6 linked regions of the Macaca fascicularis genome follow. The protein of the gene in region 4 interacts with the protein of the main gene of each other region in a pairwise test. Links are inferred from orthologs where the notes say so. Each region holds a gene or a part of one and is shown on either strand. Other genes may lie near its edges.

Region 1 (4,234 bases), on a different chromosome or scaffold from region 4:
CTAGCCATAATTTTGTAGGTATAAATCAGACTCTAACATAAACGGCACGCTGATAAGTAATCAATCACAGAATTAACCACATGCAGTATTCTAATATAAATGGTTACCTGAGAAGTCTGTCAGAAGTCTTGCTAGGACATGTTTTACCAATTCAGTCTTGCTAAGGCTGGAAACAGCATCTACCCTAGAAGTTTCTCTGACAGTAGTGGGTTTTTGGGAAATCCCAAGATCGGATCCATTCTTGACATTATGTTCTAGGATGTCATATGATCTCTGTGGCCAAGATTCTGGAGCAAATGTGAAAGTTTGCTTCAGTGCTTCTTCAGAAGGCAATTCTGCGTCATGCTGTGCAGAAGCTGACTTCTCAACCTGTCTTTCACCTAATTCTTTAAGAGCCTTAATTGTGAGCTGTTCTTGTTCTAAGTCAAGAGATGCTACTGGAGTACCTTGGGTAGGGAAAACACTTAGAGGCTCACTTCCATTTGTTTGTTTGTTTTGTTCACTGTATTTGCTTCCAATGCCTTTAATTTCAGAACCACTGGACTCACTTTCATGTAAGACTTCTACAGGAGGAGTTGTTTTAAAGTCTGTCATCTTCTCTGATATTGCTTTAAAGGCATTTCCTTCACTATCTACTATTCCTTTATCTCTGGTTTCTGTAAAGGCTGCTATCAGGTCCTCTGGGGAGGAATCATCTATATGTTTAACATTTTTCCCATGTAATGACTCCAAGTAGGCAGATGTTGTCACATTTAATGAGAATTCTGTCTCATTAAAAACATTTGGAGACACTGTTGAAGGAAGTTTGGGGTTCTCAGTAGTAACAGGCTTTTCAGGAGCAACTTCACTCACATCTTCTAAGCAGACATTTATATTGGGTACTTTTGCTGCCTCACTAGCTGGACTCCTTCCAAGAATATCAGGTTGCTCTTGATGCAGCTCAGAGTCACTGACCAACTCTTGAAAATTTTTAGATGTTTTTTCTACTCTCTTACAACTGGGAATCTCTTTGATTTCTCTTTCACCTGTTTTTACAACAGCACTTGGAATGGAAACAGGTTTTTCAGCTTGAATTTTCTTATTTTCAAATGATAGATCTGCTGTGATGTCCTCTATTACTGTGTCATCAGACTCACCAGAACTATCAGCTTCTGTGATTTCTCCCAATGCAGAGCTCTGCCAGTTCATTTCATCTTTCAGGTGGTCATCAGGTAAAACCACTTTCACTGTGGCCACTCCAGAACCCAAAGAGTCACATTTCTCAGGTGGAGATCCAGGTAATTCTGCAAGTGTGTCACCCTGTTTCTGCATATTGCCTTGCACACCTTTGATACTGAATTCTTTTGTGGAATTGAAAGAGTCGGGTATAGGTTTTCCAGTGATAGCATTTTCTTGTAGGAGAGATGCTTCTGTCCAATCACCTGTTGATTCAGTGATGGGAGTGCTCCCATTAATAGAACATACAGGAATTTTCTGATGAGTGTTAACTTTAAGATTTACAACTGGAATTTCAGAATTATATTCACTCATGTCAAGTCCTGTAGTTTTTGTGATGCAGTCAGAAGATTTATCAGTCTGTTGTTTCACTTGGGGAACCAGATCCCAAGTCAGTATTTCGTTAGTAAAGTTATGCATATCATTCACGCATCTAGACACCTCTTCCAGTGCTGCATTTGTGTGTGAAAACTGCCTACTGAGCAATGCAGACATTTGGTAACGTCCTGCCTCTTTATTTCTCAGTGGAAAAAGCTTGTCATTAGTCTCTGAAATGTCTTCGGATGATTCTCTATCAGTGTGCATAGACCAGCTACCAAAATCATCTGTGCTCTCCTTATACAAGTCTTTAAATTCTTTGTCAAATGCTGCTTTGTCAATAATTACTTCAAATGGTGATTCAGGGGAATCCTTTTCAATAACACCATCTCCTGAAACTTTGGATGGGGACAAAGAGTATGTATAAATGCCTTCTACCTTAGAGTATTCAGTAGGTGGTTTTTGGGCTGTTAGCAAAGTGAATCTGTCATCAGCATCCAATGCAGTTTTAGCTTCCCTACTTGATACCTCATTTGGGTTCTTGGTCTCTTTATCTATTTGCTCTTCCACTTGACCAATTTTCTTTGAAAGCAAAGCAGGATGCTCTGGGAAACTGGCTGGAATAGAAGGACGGTCACAATGAACTCCTGCTGCAAGAGAAATTGGAGAGTCTGACATGTTGTTGCTGATCCCCTGAGGCTTTTCCATCTTTTTCATATCCAGAAGATCCAAGTGGTCTTTTCCTTCTTTGGCTAAAATAGGCTGGCTCCCTAACACATTGCTTTTTTCTCCATGTAGTATTGTAAGGCCATTGTTATGTATTTCAGAAGATGAAAGAAAGGAAGATGTCATAATTTCTGAAGATGGCTCATCAGAACAAAGAGAGCTCAAGAATTTCAAAGAAAATAATTGTTTACCAGGTACAATTACACATTAGCTAGCCAAGCCAAGCAGCATGCTTTTTATTTTTTAAATTACATAAATATATATATATACACACACACAGGATGTATATATACACACATAAATATGTAACAAAATGATCAAGTTATCCTACAGGACATGCATAAAGCTGCCAACAGTGAAACAGAAAAGCCATATCATGCCACAAACTGCAAGTAACAAAAAAATTTCCTAACAAATACTTTTTGGACTACTTTTCCATTGTAAAGAGAAAGCATAAAGAAGGGCGGAAAGATTGAGAAATCTTGGGAGGTTTTTTATTATTTTGGTAGAGCTAATCAACAAAAGCAAATAATTGATACAAAATAAATAACCTGATACTATAAAGAGTTGATAGACTTTAATCTGTAAGCTGAACAATTCAGAGCACAGACTGCCTCTGTAAATCCACTATTATAGTCTCACAATCTGAGAAGGAAAAAAACAAGTGGCCAGACTTGTTTTTGATTTTTAGGAGATGCAGTAGACCCTCCCTGAACCTGAAAATGAGACTAGAATTATTCTATTCTATCCACAGGAAGAATCTGTCCCATGTACAAATAAATAGCTGTGATGTTCTAAACTAAAGCGTACTGAAAAAGGTGGACCCCCTCCAAAATCTTTTTTTTTTTTTTTTTTTTTTAAATACAGAGTCTTTTTCTTGTCGCCCAGGCTGGAGTGTAATCGCATAATCTCAGCTCACTGCAACCTCCACCTCCCAGGTTCAAGTGATTCTCCTGCCTCAGTCTCTCAAGTAGCTGGGATTACAGGCAGGTACCATCAAGCCTGGTTAATTTTTGTATTTTTAGAAGAGACGGTGTTTCACCATGTTGGCCAGGCTGGTTTTGAACTCCCAACCTCAAGTGATCTACCCACCTTGGCCTCCCTAAGTGCTGGGATTATAGGTGTGAGCTGCCACGCATGGCCCCTCCAAAATCTCTTGTACTAACTTGTCATTGAAATCAATATTGTACTGTGCAAATTGATTTCTTTGGTTAAGACAGAGTTAACTGGGCCGGGTGCAGTGGCTCACCTGAGGTCAGGAGTTCGAGACCAGCCTGACCAAAATGGTGAAACCTTGTCTCTACTAAAAATATAAAAAAATTAGCCAGGCGTAGTGGCAGGCACCTGTAATCCCACCTACTCAGGAGGCTGAGGCAGGAGAATCCTCTGAACCTGGGAGGCGGGCACTGCAGTGAGCTGAGGTCGTGCCATTGCACCCCAGCCTGAGTAACAAAAGTGAAACTCCATCTCCACACACATACACACAAAAAAGAGTGACCTCCAGAATTACTTTTAAAATAGAAAATATCCTTCTCAAAGTAATATGTTGTCTTAGTAGTTAATAAGCCATCAATCTACCACGCTGTTTTCTAACTTCCTACTCTAACAAGTTTTTACTGGGGAAAAGGATCAAAACAAATATCCCAAGGGCTGGTGCTTTCTTACTTCACTTATTTGTTTGTATTTGAGACAAGGTCTTCCTCTGTCCTCCAGGCCAGAGTGCAAGTGGTGCAATTGTGGCTCATTGCAGCCTTGACCTCCTGGCCTCAAGCTATCCTCCCACCTCAGCCTCCCAAGTAGCTGGGACCACAGGCACATGCCACCACACCTGGCTAATTTTTAAACTTTCTGCAGACATGGTGCCTCGCTACATTGCCAGGTTGGTCTCAAACTACTGGGTTCAAGCAACCTGCCCACTTTGGCCTCCCAAAGCACTGGGATTATAGGCATGAGCCACCAAGCCCAGCCCTGGGCG
Region 2 (4,200 bases), on a different chromosome or scaffold from region 4:
GGAGGCCGAGGTGGGTGAATCACTTGAGGTCAGGAGTTCAAGACCAGCCTGGCCAACATGGTGAAATCCTGTCTCTACTAAAAATACAAAAATTAGCCAGGCGTGGTGGCAGGCGCCTGTAGTCCCAACTACTCAGGAGGCTGAGGCAGGAGAATCACTTGAATACAGGAGGCAGACGTTGCAGTGAGCTGAGATCACGCCACTCAACTCCAGCCTGGCAACACAGCGAGACTCTATCTAAAAAAAATTTTTTTTTTTTTTTGTATTTTTAGTAGAGACGGGGTTTCACCGTGTTAGCTAGTCGGACCTAGGGCCTGACACCGTGTAGTGCCACAGGAAGCTAGGTACGGTGTGGCTTGTAATCCTAACACTTTGGAAGGCCAAAATGAGAGGATTGCTTGAGGCCAGGAGTTTGAGACCAGCCTGGGCAACATGGCAAAACTGTGTCTCTACAAAAAAATTTAAAATTAAGCTAGGCATGGTGGCACATGCCTGTAGTCCTAGCTACTCAGGAGGCTGAGGCAGGAGGACGGATTGAATCCAGGAACTTGAGGCTGCAGTAAGACGCGAATCATGCCACTGCACACCAGCCCAAGTGACAGAGCAAGACTCTGTCGCAAATAAAATAAAATAAAATAAAATAAAAATATAGGCCAGGTGCGGTGGCTCATGCCTGTAATTCCAGCACTTGGGGAGACCGAGGTGGGAGGATCACTTGAGGTCAGGAGTTCGAGACCAACCTGGCCAACACAGTGAAATCCTGTCTCTACCAAAAACACAAAAAGTAGCCGGGTGTGATGGCACACGCCTATAATCCCAGCTACTCAGGAGGCTGAAGAAGGAGAACTGCATGAACCCAGGAGGTGGAGGCTGCAGTGAGCTGAGACAGTACTACTGTACTTCAGCCTGGGCAACAGAGCAAGACTCTGTCTCAAAAAATATACACACACACATATATATATATATAGAGAGAGAGAGAGACAGAGGGAGAGAGAGTGAGAGAATGTGCTTTATATTTTATATATTTATTATATATAATACATTGTATATATAATATGTACACAAATATATCAAAATAATGCATGTTGCTTGGTTTAAAAAGCCAATGGGAGGCCAGGTGTGGTGGCTCACACCTGTAATCCCAGCACTTTGGAAGGGTGAGGCCGGTGGATTACTTGAGGTCAGGAGTTCCAGACTAGCCTGGCTAACAAGGTGAAACCCCATCTCTACCAGAAAATACAAATATTAGCTGGGCACGGTGGCAGGCGCCTGTAGTCCCAGCTACTGGGGAGACTGAGGCAGGAGAATGGTGTGAACCCGGGAGGCGGAGCTTGCAGTGAGCCGAGATCGCGCCACTGCACTCCAGCCTGGGCGACAGTGCAGACTCCATCTCAAAAAAATAAACAAATAAACAACAACACAAAAAAGCCACTGGGAAGACTTATAATAAAAGGTTACAGTTCCTTGCCACATCCTTCCTACCCCAACCCCACCTCCAGTCTATCTTCCCAGGGACAACGTTTTTATTTGCATTTTTTAAAAGGGGTGTGTGTGTAAGTGTGTGTGTGCATTTTAATATTGAGCTGGGGTCTCACTGTGTTGCCCAGGCTCATCTTGAACTCCTAAACTCAAGCAATCTGCTCCCTCAGACTCCCAAAGTGCTGGGATTTACACGCATGAGCCACTGAGCCCGGCCTTATTTGCATTTATTTTTAGGCATGGAAAAGACAAACGATTTGGGGAAAGCATATTTTAAATAGCTAAGATTCTGCACTTAGACACTTTATAAGTGTCCTTACGTGCCTGCTTTGCTTTTATAGTTAACTAATGCACCAGCTTAATAGTCGCCTAGTTGAAAATTCTAAAAGTACAAAAAACTTACAGTAAAAAGTCTTCCCCAACTTCTGTCCTCAGTGACACAGTTCTTCTCCCTGGGGACCTTCTTGTTACCCGTTCTTGTATATCATTCTACAGGTGTCCTGTTTTACTATTTTTAATTATTTTCATGGTTTCCTCCATGTCTCTCTATAAATTGTGCTTATGATGTTGCTATCGCTTCATATATCAACTCTAGCCTATCTATCTTCCTGCTGTGACCTTGATATGGCGACTTACTCCTTAAGTCCTTCCGAACTGCATGAATTTTTTTTAACCATTGACCAGTATTATTTTCTGAAAAATTAAAAACGGTTAAACTCGTTAAAGGGATTTTATGTAAGATCAAACAAACCAATAAACAAAACTTACTCTACGAGACTGGAGTACTAATAATTGGGTTAAACCAGAGTTTTCATGTTAATTTACAGAAATTCACAGTCTGATGCCCAGACACTACACGCCGGGCGTGGGCATACACGCCTTGCTTGTCCGGGAACGGCCATCCACGCCCTTTTAAAAAAAGACAGCGCCCACTCACGGCCCCGCCCCGCTGATGGTTAAAGAAGTAAACGAACCCTTGTTCGTTTACTGCAACCGCCGCTTAAAGGGGAAACCCATTTCTGTCGTCTAAAAAGGGAGTGGTGGCTGCAGCGCCTTTCCTTAAGGTAAAACTCGGCGCCCCTCTAGTTAAAAGGGTAAAGTAAGCGCTGGGCCCCACCTCACCTGCGCGGTTACTTTGTACTCGGTGTAGCCCTTGGGGTGCGTCCTGGGGTCCGACACTGTGTAGTGCCGCAGGAAGTCATCCTTCGCCTGGCGGGACATGAAACCGAGCTGGAGCGGAGCGGAACGCCGGACTCCGCTTCCTCCCTGTCCCCACCCCTCCGGCCCGGCCTCCGACCGCCGCCGCCTCGCCTGGGCCTGCGCCCTTCTTCCTCCGGCCCAGGGATTTTATCGCAAGTGACAGCGCTGTTCCGATCCCGGGTGCGCGGCCAAGGGAGCGTCTGAAAAGTTCCTTCTCTGTGGTGAAGCGTAAACCCAAGTCATTGGAAAGATTGGTGGGGGAGGTTGTGATCACTCGTCTCATTTCTGCCGGGTGATCAAGCCCACCCTATCCAAGCGTAAACCCTTGTCACAGTCCTCCAAAGGACCTCTCCCCTGCTTCCCAAATCCCTGCTTTCATTCATCCACCCAACTCCTATTGTGCCCATTATGTGCAGGACAACGTCAAATTATTTCCCTGTCAGGATTCCCTAATTCATGTTTTCTGGAAAGTAGGGAAGCAAAGAACGCTGGAGAAGCAGGATGGTGTCATGGGCTCTGAGTCACGACTCTTACTAGCTGTAGGAGTTTCCCATAACTACTCAGCCTCAGTTTCTCATTTGTAGAATGGAGATGTTTATAATAGAATCTATGTAGGTCAGTGGAGCTTTCTTGCAATGGACTTGCTGCCAGAACACAGGTGTCGTGAAAATCACCATTAAATCAAAGCCAAAATGGGGGTTTGGTGCCGTGGCTCACACCTGTAATCCCAGCATTTTGGGCGGTGGAGGCAGGTGGATCACTTGAGGTCAGGAGTTCAAGACCTGCCTGTCCAACATGGTGAAACCCCATTTCTACTAAAAATACAAAAATTAGCTGGGCGTGGTGGCGCACACCTGTAATTCCAGCTACTCCAGAGGTGGAACTGGCCGATGGCTTTAGCTCAGGAGGTTGAGGCTGCGGTGATCTGCAATCGCACCACTGCACTCCAGCCTGGGCAACAGAGTGAGACTCCATCTCAAAAGAAAGGGTGCAGGGGAAGGAAAAGACTCAGCTCAACATTGTCATCTGATTTGGGCAAGTCCACCACTACTGGCTATCTGATTTACAAGTGTGATGGGATCCACAAAAGAACCATCGAAAATTTTGAGGAGGCTGCTGAGATGGGAAAGGGCTCCTTCAAGCATACCTGGGTCTTGGGTAAGCTAAAAGTTGAACGTGAGAGTGCTATCACCACTGCTACCTCCCTGCTGGCAATTAAGACCAGTCAGTACTGGTCTTATGTGACCATCATCAATGGCCCAGGATGCAGAGACTTTACCAAAAACCTGATTACAGGCACATCTCAGGCTAACTGTGCTGCCCTGATTGTTGCTGCTAGTGTTGGTGAATTTGAAGCTGGTATTTCCAAGAATGGGCAGACACGTGAACACACCCTTCTGGCTTACACGCTGGGTGTGAAACTAATTGTTGGTGTTAACAAAATGGATCCCCATGGGCCATTCTAAAGAGGAGAGATGGGGGCCGGGCGTGGTGGCTCACACCTGTAATCCCAGCACTTTG
Region 3 (3,500 bases), on a different chromosome or scaffold from region 4:
CAAGTTTTTCCAGTCTATAGAAAAGGAAAAACACTTCACAACTCATTTCATAAAGTCAACATTACCCAGAACCAAAGATATGGCAAGAAAACTACAAAACAATATCCCTAATAAAAATAAATGGAAAAAAATATTTAGCAAAGACTAAAAAATCAAATCCAGTAATACACTAAAGGAATACCATAACACGACCCAGTGGATTTTATCCAAGCTATGCAAAACTGGCTCAACTTTCAAAACACAGTGTAATTTATTTGAACATACTAAACAACAAAAATCATATGATCATCTCAATAGATGTGAAACAGCATTTGACAGAATTTAACATCCTTTTTTGATAAAAACTCTCAGGAAGCTAGAATACAAGGGAACTTCTTCACCATAATAAAGAGCATCTACAGAAGCCTGCACCTAACTACTGAGTATAAGAGTGAAAGACTGAAGGATTTAACACTGTTTAAGATTGAGGCAAGAATATTCACTCTCACCAGTCTTATTTAACATGATAATAGAAGCCCTATCCAGTGTAATCAGTCAAGAAAAAGAAATAATAGACATTGATATTGGAAATAAATAAAACTAGAGACAACCAAAATGTTCCTCAACTGATCAATCAACAAACTAGTGCATTCATTCAACGGAATACGGTTCAGCAATTAAAAAGGGAAAACTACTGAAACACACACCATGGATGAATCTCAAACACGTTATGACAGGTGAAAGAAGCTGGACTCAAAAGACGACAAACTGTATAATTCCATTTATATGACATTCTGAAAAAGATAAAACAGGAGAGGCTAAAAATGTATCCACACGTGTCTGGGGCTGGAGTAGGGAAAGGACTGACTAAAAACAAATGTAGGAGAATTTTCTGACATAACAAAACCATTTTATACTTTGGTTGTGGTGGTTACAAGACCGTGTCTATTTGTCAAAAAGCATAGAACTATATACTAAGGATGAATTTTATTATAGTAAATTATACCTTTAAAAAGGAAAAAAAGAGAGAATATGTGTATGTGTAAATGTTAGAATGAGACTGCCTGAGCTCTGCTTCTTCCTATAATAAATGTGGATATTGGACAGATTATCAAACTCTCTCGCCATCAATTTTCTCAACTGTAAAGTGAGAATAATAATAGCATCTACCTCTTAATGTTGTTAGCTTTCCTTGGTGCTATTCCATTGTTATTATTTAATCTCTCACCCAACACTGTGCTCATTGTTAAGAAAACACAAATGAATCTATGGCATGGTCCCTGACTTCCTGGAGGCTCCAATCTAGTGAATAAGCATCTCTGGAAGGGCCAAATGAACACAATTGTTTTACTGCCATTAGATTTTACAATTACAAAAATTAGCAAAATTTGCGGTATGCCAAATTCACATCAATTTCAAATATAGTTCAACCTTTTCAAGAATGTTCTAAAATAGGAACCAAAATTTCAACTCAAATCTAAGAAATTCTACTGCTGGCCCAGATATTTCTAGAATATCTCTATAGACAATTTTAAAAGACTCAAAATTGCAATTATCTATAGCTTCTCAGGTTCAGAAAGAATATCAACCTACCTCATTTTCACCAATTTATTCTAGCATTTCAATGTTACCTTAATTTGAATAAAAGTATCAAGAAAGCATGAGAAGAATATGAAATTGTGTTTCCTTATATGCCAAGACTTTATATATCTGAATAAAACTTTTCCCTAAAAAGACAAAGCTAATAGGAATCATGGAAAATGAATGAAGGGACTATGAGGTATTCCAGAAAAGTCTGCTCTCTCCAACAAGAGGGACATTAATAACTTTGTCTTTAGATCACATAAATGACTCACCAATCTGTGTGACTTATATGTGCATTACAACTACACACCGTGCACACATACCCAAATCCCTTCTGTGAATATCATTTACCTCTGTCCCTTAACCAGGTGGAATGTCCTTACTTCAAGGTTAGAGTATTAGAGGCATGAGAAATTCATGCTGGAACATACCACAGCTACTTTTAGAGAGTCAATTACATTTTTATCATATTCAATATATATTTATTGAAGGCCCAATATGTGCTCAGTTCTCACAGCATAAATCTTTATCGGCAGTTTTTATTAAATGTGTCCTTACCATTCAGAGCTAAAAGAAAATCAAGCTATTCTTATTTCAAAGATTTCCTATCCACTGTCATCTCACATCACGTCTCAGTGAAACACTGTGAGAAGTGTTCTTGGAGTGTTATCAACTAAAAATTCTGCAATAAGTATGGCTTTTTGCACAGGATTTCACACTGAATAATATAGTAACATCTAGAAATTCCTAACCTAGAAGAAAAAAAGAACATTTTACAAGATATTTTTAAAAGCATGACATGTGCACAAGGGGCTTCTCAAACAGAATCCACAGACTCGTTTTCACCATTTCACTTGCTCAGAACTATTGTTTTGAAATATGGAACTCCCAAACTTGGATCTTCCAAAGTTTTATATATTGAAAATATTCCTAAGGATTATATCTCTCAATCAGAAGCCAGTATGTGGGAAGGTAAAAGAGAGAGAAAAATAAAATCCACATGATAACTAAAAACAAGTCAAAATAAAATAAGTAGAAATACTCTTTGGAGGAACGCAGAGAAAATGATGACTGGCTAGCTTACCTTGCTTTTTTCCATTAACAGTTTCTAAAGTACCAGGGAGCTGGCTGTCAAAGCCATGTTGAAGGCCACTTCTTTGCTTTTCAAGGTGATGCTCTTCCTCCGCAATAGAAGAAAGCACATGTGGTGACTTGTGGTCATCACTGGCCCGATTGGGCCACTGGGACATTGTGGAACATGAGTCCTTTGCATGTTGGCTAAGCCTGGGGCTTGAATTTTGGGCAGAGTCCTGCAAATCACTATTACAACATGAGAAATGATCCACTTCAAGAAACAAGGAATTTGCATCCTCTTGACTCCAATCATTGTCTTGTTCTTCATCTTCAAAGTATGTTTCCTGAATCTGAATATTATCTAAGTCCTGATCTAGTTTGTCACTCAATTTAGAGTCTTGTTTGCTTACGTTAACCAGCGAAGCAGATAACATATCTCCTGCTTGCTGGAGAGCTTCATAAACCCGAGATATCCAGGAAGAGAAAGGCTGGAAGAAGTTCTGAGCATCCTGAGACGCCATGGCCAACACCATGGCCAGCTATCTGATGTCTACAGTGTCCACTTGTTCAGTTCCTTCAGTGCTCTGGATTGAATGTGAACTATAGAATAAGCATGTTGAGAAATTAATTTGGAGGTCTCTTAATGGCTGTGAATATTTCACTCTCAAAACTTCCAGCTGAAACAGAGGAAAGAAATACTTACACCTGTTAAAGTTACAACCTCAGACCCATCACCAGATACCTACAGACAATGTCAAACAGCATTTGGACACGAAAAGGGATCATCATGGAAATCTTAAAATAGTTAAATAAAAATGACTGTGAAAGCCTAGATGTAGATTATTTCAGTGCCTATTCACCTC
Region 4 (4,198 bases):
TTCCAAGCAGGCAGTTTACACTACTTGATTCTTGACCTTTTATACCTAAAGGTCCTACTGCTAGTGGGACACGCTTTCCGTCCCCGAAGTAGCAAGTACTTATGAATGCATCTAATTTATTATGCATTCTCAATCTCTAACAAACGTGATTTTTTTCCCTTCCAAAATAATTTCCCAAGATGAAAACGGCAATAAAACAATATGCCTAATAATAATATACAATCAGGGACTTAGGTGAAAGAAAGAACTTGAAAACTATTTTACAGACCATACATACAGTCATGCCTCACTGAACAGTGGGAACAGGATCTGAGAAATGTATTGTTAGGCAATTCTGTCGTTGTGCAAACATCAGTGTACTTACACAAACCTAGATGGTAGAGCCTACTATACATCTAGGCTATATGGTATAATCAATTGCTCCTAGGCTACTAACCTATACAGAATATTACTGTAGGCAACTGTAACACAATGGTATTTGTGTAGTGCTTATCTAAACATACCTAAAATACACTGTACAAAGGATTAAAAGATGGCACACGTGTACAGGGCATTGGCCATGAATAGAGCTTGCAAGCCTAGAAGCTGCTCTGGATGTTAGTAGCAAGTGAATGTGAAAGCCTAGGACACTACCATGCACTACTGTACAACTTACACTCTACAGTTAAGCTACACTAAATTTATCTTTAGATATATTTCTTCAACAATAAATTAACCTTAGCTTACTGTAACTTTTCTATTTTATAAACTTTTTGGCTCTTTTGTAATAACGTTTAACTTAAAACACAAACACCTTTTATAGCTATAGAAAAAAATTTTATATCCTTATTCTATAAGCTTTTTTCTACTTTTTTTTTTTTTAACGTTTGTTACAAACTTAAGATACAAACACATTACCCTAGGCCTACACAGGGTCAGGATCAAGACGTCGCTAGTCGGCAGGAATTTTTCAGCTCCATTATAACCTTTCGGGGCCACCGTTGCATATGCGTCTGTCCTTGACCTAAAGGTCGTTATGCGGCACGTGACTGTATTTTGATTCTGTAACCTAAAACATATCACTTCTGAAAAACTGTATTTCTAACCAATATATATGAAAATGTCTGTCTCAAAACACTTCTCTATGTCTCATGGTAAATCTGCCACGAGTTCAATTAGCCAATTCCTGGCAAGGAATCCACAGGTTTGCCCTTCTTTAGGAATGTCAACCATTTTGCCTTTTATTTTTTTCTTTAAGATTCAATTATGATGCACTAAGAGGCTGGGCCAAGTCCACACTAACATCAATTCCTCCGACCCTGCAGCTGAAACCCTGGCAGAACTACGCCCCCTCGGAACACAATGCCCAGATCCTCTCTCCCTGGCTCGGTTTAGCTCGTGGGGAGCAGTCCACATCACACCCCGGTGAGCTGGGCGGTGGCAGGACTTCACCAGAACTCTCTCCTTCCCGTTTCTCCACGCACCACACCACTGGAGGCGCTCTCCCTTCACTGCGGTTGGGTCAATGTGGACGTTTTCCACTCGGCCAGCTCCCCACAAGCACAGGAGGGGGAGGGGAAGCGCAAAGGAGCCACCCACGCCAGGCAGGAGGTGAGAAGGGAGCCCAGGGCCGAATGCAAGCCAACGGACCCGCAGCACAACTGCACCTTTTCCAAAGGAGCAACCCAGACGAGTAGACAAAAGCACCTCCTAAAAAGGTCTGGGTGCCAAGGCCTTTCCTTCCTTACTTCGAACCCAACCAACCCAATAAATCCACAACCCTGGTTCCCGGGTATACACCCGGCTCCTACTACGGGTGGGTGCCTAACTTCCGAGAATCGGTACGCTGGGCACCACAGAGGGTAGAAGTGGGAGCCGGGTGCGGTGCACGTGTTCCCCGAAACGAAGACGGACAATGAGAACAAGCCCGGCCTCCAAGGGCCGCCCCACCCTTCTCCCCGCGCCTCCAACCAGGAGGGGCGCCATCGCCCCGAAGTCTGCAGACAAAGCCCCCTCGGGGCGGAGAGGAGGGCCCAGCCCAAAGCATCTCGGGCTGCACACAAAAGAGGGAGGGGCGCGAGGGGCGGCGCAAAGCGAGAGGGCGCGGCACTCACCCACGGAGCCCGAGGAGCCCCTGCGCTTGGGCGCGGCCGGGGTGGAGGGGGGCGCGGCGGGAGCCGGGGCGGGCGGGGTCCACGCGGGCTCGGCCTGGGGGCTCACGCTGGCCGGGGGAGGAGGGGGAGGCCGGGCCGGAGGCTCATCGTCCTCAAGGAGCTTGGAGGGCGAGACTGCGGCAGCAGAGAGCGAGGATGGCGCGGGCACCGTCGACGACACCGGGCTCGGGTCCCAAGACGGCTGCCGCTCCGGGGCGGCGGGGGGCGCGGCCGGCAGGGGTCCCCGGGGCGCCGGCGGTACGAAGTCATTTCCGAAGTCCATCAGGGGGGCGCCGGCGGCAGGGGCGGTGGGCACCGGGGCCGCGGACAGCCCAGCGGCGGGCTTCCTCTCCAGCACCTCCAGCTCCTCCAGGTCTTCGTCCTCGTCCTCTTCTTCCTCCTCCTCTTCTTCCTCCTCGTCCTCGGGCTCCCTCACGAACTGGTACTTGAACGCGGGCTGCGGCCGGGGTGGGCTGTCCGAGGACGAGACCAGAGGCGACTGGTCCAGGTCTTCCATGGCTGGCGGGTGGAGATGATGCTGCAGCTGCTGCTGCCGCCGCCGGAGCCGCGTTTCAGAGCCGCCGGCGGTTGTGGGGGTTGGGGAGGACTGAGAGGGGCTGGGCCGAGCGAGCCGAGGGACCTACTGTGGTGACGGCTCCCGGAACAATGAGACTGCTCCTCCTGCCTCCGCGCCGGTGATGCGCCACCCGCCCTGTCCCCAGTTGCCGCCGCCACCGCCCAGACGAGCTAGGAGAGAGGCCAGCGGACTCTCCGCCCAGTTTGGCGTGACTCACCCTACCCGGGGGAGGGCAGGGACTGGCGCGGGAGGGAGAGAGCCAATCGGCTACAGGATAGAGAAGATAGGCGTCCAGCCAGGCCAACGGAGAGGGAAGGAGATGAAAGTGGGTGGGGATTACGGCACTTCCTCTCTCTTACCGGCGGGGATTGCGTTCAATGGGCGGTGCTGGGAGCTGGGAGCTCCACCCCCACTTTGAGTAACTGTGAGTTGGGGTGGGGTCTTGGCCTTGCCGGCAGCTGGGGGTCCGTCTGTCGTAGAGCACTGGGAAAGGGGGCGGGCTGCTAGCTGGGAGGGGTCGGCGCGGTTCCTGGCGCGCCACCGGAAGGGCGTTATCCTGGGGGACTGGGAGTGGAAACTTTCCTCCCGGGAAAGGAAGAAACCCGACTGGAGAAAGCTATTAACGGGACTGTGAAGTGGGCCCTAAGGATTTTTAAAGATTTTAGAAATAAAATATTATTTTTTCACTTAATGTTCCAAACCACATCACTACTACTACCGCCCTCAAATAAGAAAAAACTTGTTTTTTTGACAGACTCACTCAGTCTAAACCGCAGCCCCTGGAATTGGTAGGCAAAACAGCTGTGCTGAATTAACTGGGGATCTGGGGCCGACCATTTGAAAGTCTGCTCTTCTTCCAAAGCGAGTTTGGGGCCCTGCCTGATGCTGGACTCTTACATGGTAGGAGAGTGAGTCACCCAAAGAGAGAGGCAGCGGGAGACCGGAAAGTGGAAATGCAAAGATGCCTTGGAAAGCTAATTTGGTTCACGTTACATTTCAGTCACCTTAGGTTCATGAGTCAACATTTCGGATGATTCAGGCCTTCTGGGAGTCAGGAAGCCCCATACTCATTGGTTTGATACGCAGGAATAAGCATGATCCCCATTCCACTTTTTCTGAGGCTGGAGAGTTTAAAGAAAGTAATTGCAGAACATGTAAGAATCAGGATCTTTCTGATTTACCTTTCAAAAATATTCACTGCATGCCTACTCTAGAGGCCCTGCAGAGAAAAGGATAACCAGCTTTCAAGTTGCTCAAAGTCTAAATCTGTGCTGTACCTGACAGGTATTGGCTACTTAGTCACTGGCTACTTGTGGTTACTGATGGAACACTCAGAATGTATGTAGCTAGGCTGAAATTAGATGTGCTGTGTCAAATGCGCACTGGATTTCAAGAATTAGTACCCCCCAAATGTAAAATATCTCAGCTTTCGTATTGACTTAATGTTGAAATTGATATTTTGGATATATTGGGATAAGTATAATATTAA
Region 5 (4,064 bases), on a different chromosome or scaffold from region 4:
ACGATAGAGATAACCTAGCTTCATGCTACCAAACATTTAGAATCGTAATTAATCCCCCATTGAGGAAGTAAAAAATAGGAGACTGGGATATGGGAAAAGGTCATCAAGCCTAGATTTGAAACCAGGATATAAAGAGCTGGAATTACAGGCACCCGCCACCCTGCTCGGCTAATCTTTGTATTTTTAGTAGAGACGGGGTGGTCTCAAACTCCCGGCCTCAGGTGATCCACCCAACTCGGCCTCCCAAAGTGCTGGGATTACAGGCGTGAGCCACGGCACTCGGCTAGCGTTTTCCCTTAGACTCGAAATTTCGCTCCTATTGTCCCATCCTTGTAGTAAAAAAGGTATTCTTTCTAAGGCTTAATAACAAATTTTACTCTTGGCAATTATCAGGAACTCGACTATATTAAAATAGCTAACGAGAGGAAATTACTGAAGCTACAAAGTCAAAGGTCTCACCATCAAAGTTATCCTTGACAACTGACAAGAGCTGTTAGATCTTCTTTTGGTCTTTCTGCTAATTCAACCCTAGTCTTAAAAATAGCCACCTATTGCCTAATCCCCTAATCTCGTATTTCTAATACGAGAAAGTTTCTATATATCCAAACTTTCCTATCTTTGAGGGGCAGGCATGGTTAACGTGGTTCTCAGTAAGATATTCATTTACAACTAAGAGAAAATCCCAGGCTATCATCTGACATTCTTGTTTTACTTTAAAAACCTTTCTAACGTTATTTATTCTCTGACAACCTCAAAATTACTTTCCACAAAGAAAATTCTAGAAATCTAAAAATGCGAAGTGCGTGCTTGTCAGAAGGTACTAAGGAAATTCTTCCTTTAAACGTCAAATGTGAATTCTAACTTCTAATGGGTAAGACCCTCGAGATTTACAGCGGTGGTCTGGTGGAAAGAAAACCCCCTTGGCACTAGGAGCTCACAAAACCCCATCCCGTGGTTGAGGCGGAAGCGGCTACGCGCTCCCGGGCTTTCGACAAGCAGCCCTGCAACGCAGGCCCGTCATCTTCAGCAGAAAGCTCTCTCACGTCCTGGCCCGCAAGCCCGGAGGGTTCGTCATAAACACACAAGGCAAGGATAGAAGCGAGGCCAAGAGGCAGGTCACGCAACTGTCAAACGAAGCCCACCCACCGACTGACAAGTCCCCAAGGCGACAAGCGATCCCCGCGCGGGATACTCACCCGTTACCTCAGGATCGCGACTACAACTCCCAGGAGGCTGGGCGAGCGACGAACCAACGCCCTTCCCAGAATGCAGCACAGCGGCATCCCTATCCCGCCCTCTCCTTACTGCGCTCCTCCTACTTTTCTACCCCTCGTCATCCGGGAGAGCCGGAGGTAGGGTGCGGGAGGAGGATCCCGCACGCTTGGCGTGTCGCGTCAGACGCCGGGAGGGGGACGGGGCGGGGAGGAGGAGGGGAGAATGGGAGGACGAAGGGGAGGGGAAAGGACAGGGGAGGGGAGGGTAAATAGTGGGCCAGGCAGCAAGATGGCGGCGGTAGCGGAGGTGTGAGTGTACTCGGGTCTCAGCGGCCGGATTTTCTCTTCCCTTCTTCTCCCTTTTCCTTCGCTATTTGAAATTGGCATCGAGGGGTCTAAGTTCGGGTGGCAGCACCGGGCGCAACGCAGGGGTCCCGGCGACGGCGGCGGCGGCTGACGGCTGGAAGGGTAGGCTTCCTTCACCGCTCGTCCTCCTTCCCCGCTCCGCTCGGTGTCAGGCGCGGCGGCGGCGCGGCGAGCGGACTTCGTCCCTCCTCCTGCTCCCCCCCACAGCGGAGCTGGCACTCTTCGCTTCGCCATCCCCCGACCCTTCACCCCGAGGACTGGGCGCCTCCTCCGGCGCAGTTGAGGGAGCGGGGGCCGGTCTCCTGCTCGGCTGTCGCGCCTCCATGTCGGATAATCAGAGCTGGAACTCGTCGGGCTCGGAGGAGGATCCAGAGACGGAATCTGGGCCGCCTGTGGAGCGCTGCGGGGTCCTCAGTAAGGTGAGCAACCGGTGGTGCCAGGGGACCCCTGGCCAGACTCACCTGCCGCGAGGCAATCCGCTGAGGCGGTGGGGTGGGGCTGGCGGGAGGCGCGGAACGTGCCGGGGTGCGAGGCTGAGTACTGCTGCGGCGACTAGGGATGAGGCGGGGATATAGGGGGCCTGTCCTTGCTGCCCGAGGGCTCGTCGGGGGCAGCCGAGGACCAGGGAAAGGGTGTATCAACCGGGGATCCAGTTTGGGAGACCAGATGCGTGCCGTGCCTTGGGACCTAGGGCGGCAGCTGTCCCGGGTGTAAGGAATCCGGGTTGGGCTTCAGCGGTGTCCGAACGACTGGGCACGGGAGCGGTTCAAGTCGGACCTCTTAAAAGAGGTTGGTCTGTCTGAGGATGCCAAGCCGAGTAGGTTGGGGGGCACTGCGGACGCAGCTGTTTCGACAGAAGCCGGAGCGACTCAGCTTGGTGTTGAAATTTGAGGTGTTGAACTCGCCAGGTTAGATGTAGTGAGACAGATTAATGTGGAGGACTTTCTCCCTCACCCTGTACCTTAGTTCAGAATAGAGATATTGAATCGGCACGTGATGGGTACAGGAAATATTCATAGTAACTTGAAACATGTGAGAAAGGAGACTGATCTTTAGTCCAGGAAGAAGAGCATTATTTAATAATAAACTCTTTTTGCGGTAAGGGGTCCAGGGTAGGGAAAAGATGTTTTACCTTTTATGTATTTTTTAAAATCCGTGTATCAAAATTTTAGGAAAGCAGCCATTATAGAACTGCGGATGGGTGATCTCTTGATATTACATGGTTGGGATTTTTTTTTTTTTTAAGTTTTTGCTATAAGAAGATTCACATAGCCTTTTGGACTTCTCTCCCCCTTCCTGTTAAACTTTTTTAGAAATGGCTGGAGCTAGCAGTTAACTTGGAGAGGGGGAGCTGGGCCAGTCCCTCAACAAGCTGGTCATAAGATACTATGTCATGTGCAGCTACTGGCTATTAAGAAATCACCCTGTTTCCAGTATTCATACTTTGGCACATCACTTGGACATTATTTGTGGAATTGTTTAATATAATGCTTTTATAATGTCTGTAGAAAGCTAATGAGAAGGGAACTAGAAAAGGCATGAGTAGTCAGAACTAAGGATTGCAAGTGTTGACTTTTATTTGTATAGCCGAAAAATTAGTTGTATATTGATGCTGTGATCATTCTTGAAATTTCAATGCAAGGTTTTCAGTAACGAGAAGCTCCTCAGGATTTCTTTACATTAAATGTATCCTGTAATTTAGGAATCTCTATTGAACACATTGTGTAGTAGGTACACATTTTCAGTTGATAATAGGAAGTGGGTTACTTGCTTCTCAGTGATTTTGATAGTTTCATCACTGCTCATAAGATGGGAAGCTGACTGCCATATTAGTATTGTGATGTGTTGAGTATTTTACAAAACAAATTGTAATTTTGACCTACTGATAATTACTTTTTTGGGGGTTGGGGGAATGGAGTGACTGGGGGAAAAAGTCACCAGTGCTCTGAGTTTTACTTTATGTGGAGTAGGTATACTATAGATCAAAAAATGGAAGACCAATCTCGATATTTAAATGCATACAAATGCATTTGATCACCTCTGTGGAAGGTGAATAACTTAAATTTTGACTGTTGCTTCTTATGTAGAATGAATAGGAATACAGCTTTTGGTATTCTTGCTAATAGCTATGAAGGAAATTTTCCTGAGATTTACCAATTTATGGTTATATACAGTGTTTTCTGGAAACTTTTTAATCAAGGGTATTCTAAATTGAATATATATACTCATACTGAGTATGGTGCATGTTTTTAAATGTAAATTATATATTTTGAATTCTTCATATTCACCTGGTAATTTAAACAAGGATCAGAACTCGGCTTTTGTTCTTTTCCTTCCATTGAGTAATGTAAATAAGTCCCGGTACAATTTGTTTCGTTTGTCACCCAAAATGGGGTGGATTTGGAATGGGCTTGGGTAAATTTATATTAGAAATATACCAGTTCAAAGGGTATTTTCCATATGGTAATCTGAAATATATGGAAA
Region 6 (3,500 bases), on a different chromosome or scaffold from region 4:
TTCAAGTGATTCTCTACCTCAGCCTCCTGAGTAGCTGGGACTACAGGCACGCACCACCTTGCCTGGCTAGTTTTTTGTATTTTTAGTAGAGGCGGGGTTTCACCATGCTGGCCAGGCTGGTCTTGAATTCCTGACCTCGTGATCCGCCTGCCTCAGCCTCCCATAGTGCTGGGATTATAGGCATGAGCCACTGCGCCTGGTCTGGTTTTGTTTTCTAATGCAATCTGTGAATGATATTTTTTTAAATTATATAACTTGGATGCAGAGTTGTATTCTCTTGATGGACTGTGTAAATTGCATTTAAATACAATATTTTCTAAATTTCTAGCTGCTGTAAATATTTTAGTGTATTGGCTAATGATAACATATTCTGTGGTTAGTGTTAATTGAAGCAACTTTTTAATACTCATGTTCAAGATTGATCAGTATTTTAGGATCTGCCTCATATTTGTTTATAATTAGGTTCATCTTTTTGGCGCTTCTTTGGGAGGCTTTTTGGCCCAGAAATTTGCTGAATATACTCACAAATCTCCTAGAGTCCATTCCCTAATCCTCTGCAATTCCTTCAGTGACACCTCTATCTTCAACCAAACTTGGACTGCAAACAGGTAAGAACAAAATTATTATTTCTGTTCAGTGAAATTTTGAAAATGTTGGCTTTTGAGTGTTTGGTATATTAGGAAGGGAAGGCTTACATCTACTTCTATATTCTGCAACTTCCTTGGCTTTTTTTTTTTTTTTTTTTTTTGATACAGAATCTTGCTCTGTCACCTAGCCTGAAGTGCAATGGTACAACCACAGCTCACTGCAGCCTTTATTTCCCAGGCTTAAGCGATCCTCCTACCTCAGCCTCACAAATAGCCGGAACTACAGGCAGGCATGCGTGGCACCACACCTGGTTAATTTCTGTATTATTTTGTAGAGATGGGATTTTGCCATGTTGCCCCATGCTGGTCTCTAACTCCAGGGCTCAAGCGATCTGCCCACCTTGGCCTCCCAAAGTTCTGGGATTACAGGCATGAGTCACTGTGCCCGGCTGTTTCTTGACTTTTAAAATTAGAAACAATTACCTTTACAAAAGGAAAGAATTGAATGAACTCTAAATTCAGCTTTATTACCCTAAATTTTTAAATTTTGTTTAATATTCATTAATACACTTTTGCTGTTTCTATTCAGTACTTCTATATAACTAATACCATGTTCTGTTTATCCCACTTATTATTTTGTGTAAACAGTTCCGTGTATTGACTGACATAGTTTTATTAGGCATTTGACTTTTCCCAATTCTTCGTCACATTCTACAGTAAATCTTTGTAAAAATTACTGGGTTTTTTCCCTTACCGATTTTTTTCCTTGAGATATGTTCTCCAAATGGAAAGACTAGAGCATTTGGTCTGTCAACAGATGTTCTGCACATCATGACCCTTGATATTAGTCTGTTCTTCCAAAAGATAGAAATGGTGGAAATGAGGCTGGGTGCAGTGGCTCACACCTGTAATCCCAGCACTTTGGGAGGCTGAGATGTCTGGATCACCTGAGATTGGGAGTTTGAGACCAGCCTGACCAACATGGAGAAACCCCGTCTCTACTAAAAATACAAAATTAGCTGGGCATGGTGGTGCATGCCTGTAATCCTAGCTACTCGGGAGGCTGAGGCAGGAGAATCACTTGAACCCGGGCGGCAGAGGTTGCGGCGAGCCGAGATCACGCCATTGCACTCCAACCTAGGCAACAGGAGCAAAACTCCATCTCAAAAAAAAAAAAAAAAAAACCAAAAAAAGAAATGGTGGAAATGCTTCAGGAGCAGCCAGGGGGGTACTTGTTTCCTAGGAGCCATTCTTTCATTGATTTTTATCATTTTAAGTAATTGATGGGTATCTATGATGCCATACAGCTGGCCACAGGACTTTTTTTTAAAGGCTGGAGCCTCGCCTTGCTAGCAATGAAAGAAATCTACAAATAATAATAATACTTCTATCTCTACAAATAATAATAATAATAAATTAGCCAGATACCATGGTACACAGCTGCAGTCCTAGCTAATCAGGAGGCTGAGGCAGGAGGATCGCTTGAGCCCAAGAGTTCGAGGCTGCAGTGAACCACAATCATGCCTCTGTACTCCAGGCTGGGTGACAGAGCAAGACCCTATTTCAAAAAAAAGCCCAATGACTAAACACATCTGTATGATCAGTGTTTTCAAATAATGTATAGGGAAGTATTGTTTTCACATCTACTTAAGATTGCACTCTGATATTTTTTAGTTTTTCTGATGTTACCTTAGTAGTTACTCAGTGTTCATGCAACAATTTCTTGTATACATTAGCTACTTTACAAATCCTTCCTGTCCAGATAATGCACTAAATAATGCTCATTATTTTTGGTGATTTTTATTGCTGTTCTAATTGTTAGACTGCCAAGACAGCCCCCATTCAGTTTGTGCTCTGGCACACGAGCTGCTTTTTGTCAAGTATCTGAGTGCTTACTGTGTGCCACACGCTGAGGATACAGGAGTGAGCAAAGCCAACAGGGTCTACCCCTTACAGAGCGTACTTAGACCTCATCACCTTCAAAAGATAAGAAAGTGATGGGGCTGGGAGAGAACTTAGAGAGTTAACTGGAAGGTGACTCAGTGTTCCTTTTGAGGGAAGCTCAACTTCCAGCAAGGCTGTCCCAATGATAATAAGCATCAGAAGGTAGTTTGCACCTCATCTAAGTAATTTTCATCATAGGTTTAGAGAAATTAGTGTTTACCCTCCAAGATGGCTCTTAACAGTTGAAATTAATGGAATAAATATAAACTAAAGATCATATATAGAAATCCATAAAGATCTGACCAGTCACAGTGGCCCACACCTATAATCCCAGCACTTTGGGAGGCAGAGGTAAGAGCATTGCTTGAGTCCAGGAGTTCTAGACCAGCCTGGGCAACATAGCAAGACCCTGCCTCTACAGAAAAAAAAATTTTTTTGAGATGAGAGTCTCACGCTGTTGCCCAGGGTGGAGTGCAGTGGCACGATCTGACTGCAACCTCCACCCCCCAGGTTCAAGTGATTCTCCTGCCTCAGCCTCCCGAGTAGCTGGGATTACAGGCGCCTGGCTAAATTAGCCCCTGGCTAATTTTTGTAGTTTTAGTAAGAGACAGGGTTTCACCATCTTGGCCAGGCTGGTTTTGAACTCCTGACCTCGTGATCCACCCACCTTGGCCTCCCAAAGTGCTGGATTACAGGCATGAGCCACTGCACCTGGCTCAGTAAATTTTTTTTTTTTTTTTTTTTTTTTTTGGAGAGGGAGTCTGGCTCTGTCACCCAGGCTGGAGTGCAGTGGCACGATCTCTGCTCACTGCAAGCTCCGTCTCCCAGGCTCACGCCATTCTCCTGCCTCAGCCTCTACTAAAAATTTTTGGTATTTTTAGTGGAGAGAGGGTTTCACCGTGTTAGCAAGGATGGCCTCCCAAAGTGCTAAGATTACAGGCGTGAGCCACACCTGGCCCCGGCTCAGTG

The links.
Region 1: the proteins of RTN4 (region 4) and RTN3 interact in binary tests that used the Homo sapiens proteins (3 or more experiments, as listed by UniProt). The link is inferred for Macaca fascicularis from reciprocal best matches to the Homo sapiens genes RTN4 and RTN3.
Region 2: the proteins of RTN4 (region 4) and SNX15 interact in binary tests that used the Homo sapiens proteins (3 or more experiments, as listed by UniProt). The two-hybrid records come from large-scale screens. The link is inferred for Macaca fascicularis from reciprocal best matches to the Homo sapiens genes RTN4 and SNX15.
Region 3: the proteins of RTN4 (region 4) and SYT16 interact in binary tests that used the Homo sapiens proteins (3 or more experiments, as listed by UniProt). The link is inferred for Macaca fascicularis from reciprocal best matches to the Homo sapiens genes RTN4 and SYT16.
Region 5: the proteins of RTN4 (region 4) and CERT1 interact in binary tests that used the Homo sapiens proteins (3 or more experiments, as listed by UniProt). The link is inferred for Macaca fascicularis from reciprocal best matches to the Homo sapiens genes RTN4 and CERT1.
Region 6: the proteins of RTN4 (region 4) and SPG21 interact in a two-hybrid assay, tested with the Homo sapiens proteins (2 studies listed by BioGRID and IntAct). The two-hybrid records come from large-scale screens. The link is inferred for Macaca fascicularis from reciprocal best matches to the Homo sapiens genes RTN4 and SPG21.

What each region holds. Positions count from the first base shown.
Region 1 is NC_088388.1:10,692,449-10,696,682, forward strand, and holds the start of RTN3 (reticulon-3), read right to left. Parts: upstream 2,801-4,234; 5' UTR 2,386-2,800; coding exon 108-2,385; intron 1-107. UniProt on the Homo sapiens protein: May be involved in membrane trafficking in the early secretory pathway. Inhibits BACE1 activity and amyloid precursor protein processing. May induce caspase-8 cascade and apoptosis.
Region 2 is NC_088388.1:9,347,097-9,351,296, forward strand, and holds the start of SNX15 (sorting nexin-15), read right to left. Parts: upstream 2,801-4,200; 5' UTR 2,701-2,800; coding exon 2,602-2,700; intron 1-2,601. UniProt on the Homo sapiens protein: May be involved in several stages of intracellular trafficking. Overexpression of SNX15 disrupts the normal trafficking of proteins from the plasma membrane to recycling endosomes or the TGN.
Region 3 is NC_088381.1:129,839,454-129,842,953, reverse strand, and holds part of SYT16 (synaptotagmin-16), read right to left. Parts: intron 3,315-3,500; 5' UTR 3,171-3,314; coding exon 2,648-3,170; intron 1-2,647. UniProt on the Homo sapiens protein: May be involved in the trafficking and exocytosis of secretory vesicles in non-neuronal tissues. Is Ca(2+)-independent.
Region 4 is NC_088387.1:66,790,582-66,794,779, reverse strand, and holds the start of RTN4 (reticulon-4), read right to left. Parts: upstream 2,801-4,198; 5' UTR 2,650-2,800; coding exon 2,094-2,649; intron 2,046-2,093; exon of another isoform or gene 1,930-2,045; intron 1,510-1,929; exon of another isoform or gene 1,432-1,509; intron 1,049-1,431; exon of another isoform or gene 898-1,048; intron 1-897. UniProt on the Homo sapiens protein: Required to induce the formation and stabilization of endoplasmic reticulum (ER) tubules. They regulate membrane morphogenesis in the ER by promoting tubular ER production.
Region 5 is NC_088380.1:79,525,945-79,530,008, reverse strand, and holds the start of CERT1 (ceramide transfer protein), read left to right. Parts: upstream 1-1,264; 5' UTR 1,265-1,266; coding exon 1,267-1,352; intron 1,353-1,493; exon of another isoform or gene 1,494-1,605; coding exon 1,606-1,999; intron 2,000-4,064. UniProt on the Homo sapiens protein: Shelters ceramides and diacylglycerol lipids inside its START domain and mediates the intracellular trafficking of ceramides and diacylglycerol lipids in a non-vesicular manner.
Region 6 is NC_088381.1:41,561,080-41,564,579, reverse strand, and holds part of SPG21 (maspardin), read left to right. Parts: intron 1-462; coding exon 463-608; intron 609-3,500. UniProt on the Homo sapiens protein: May play a role as a negative regulatory factor in CD4-dependent T-cell activation.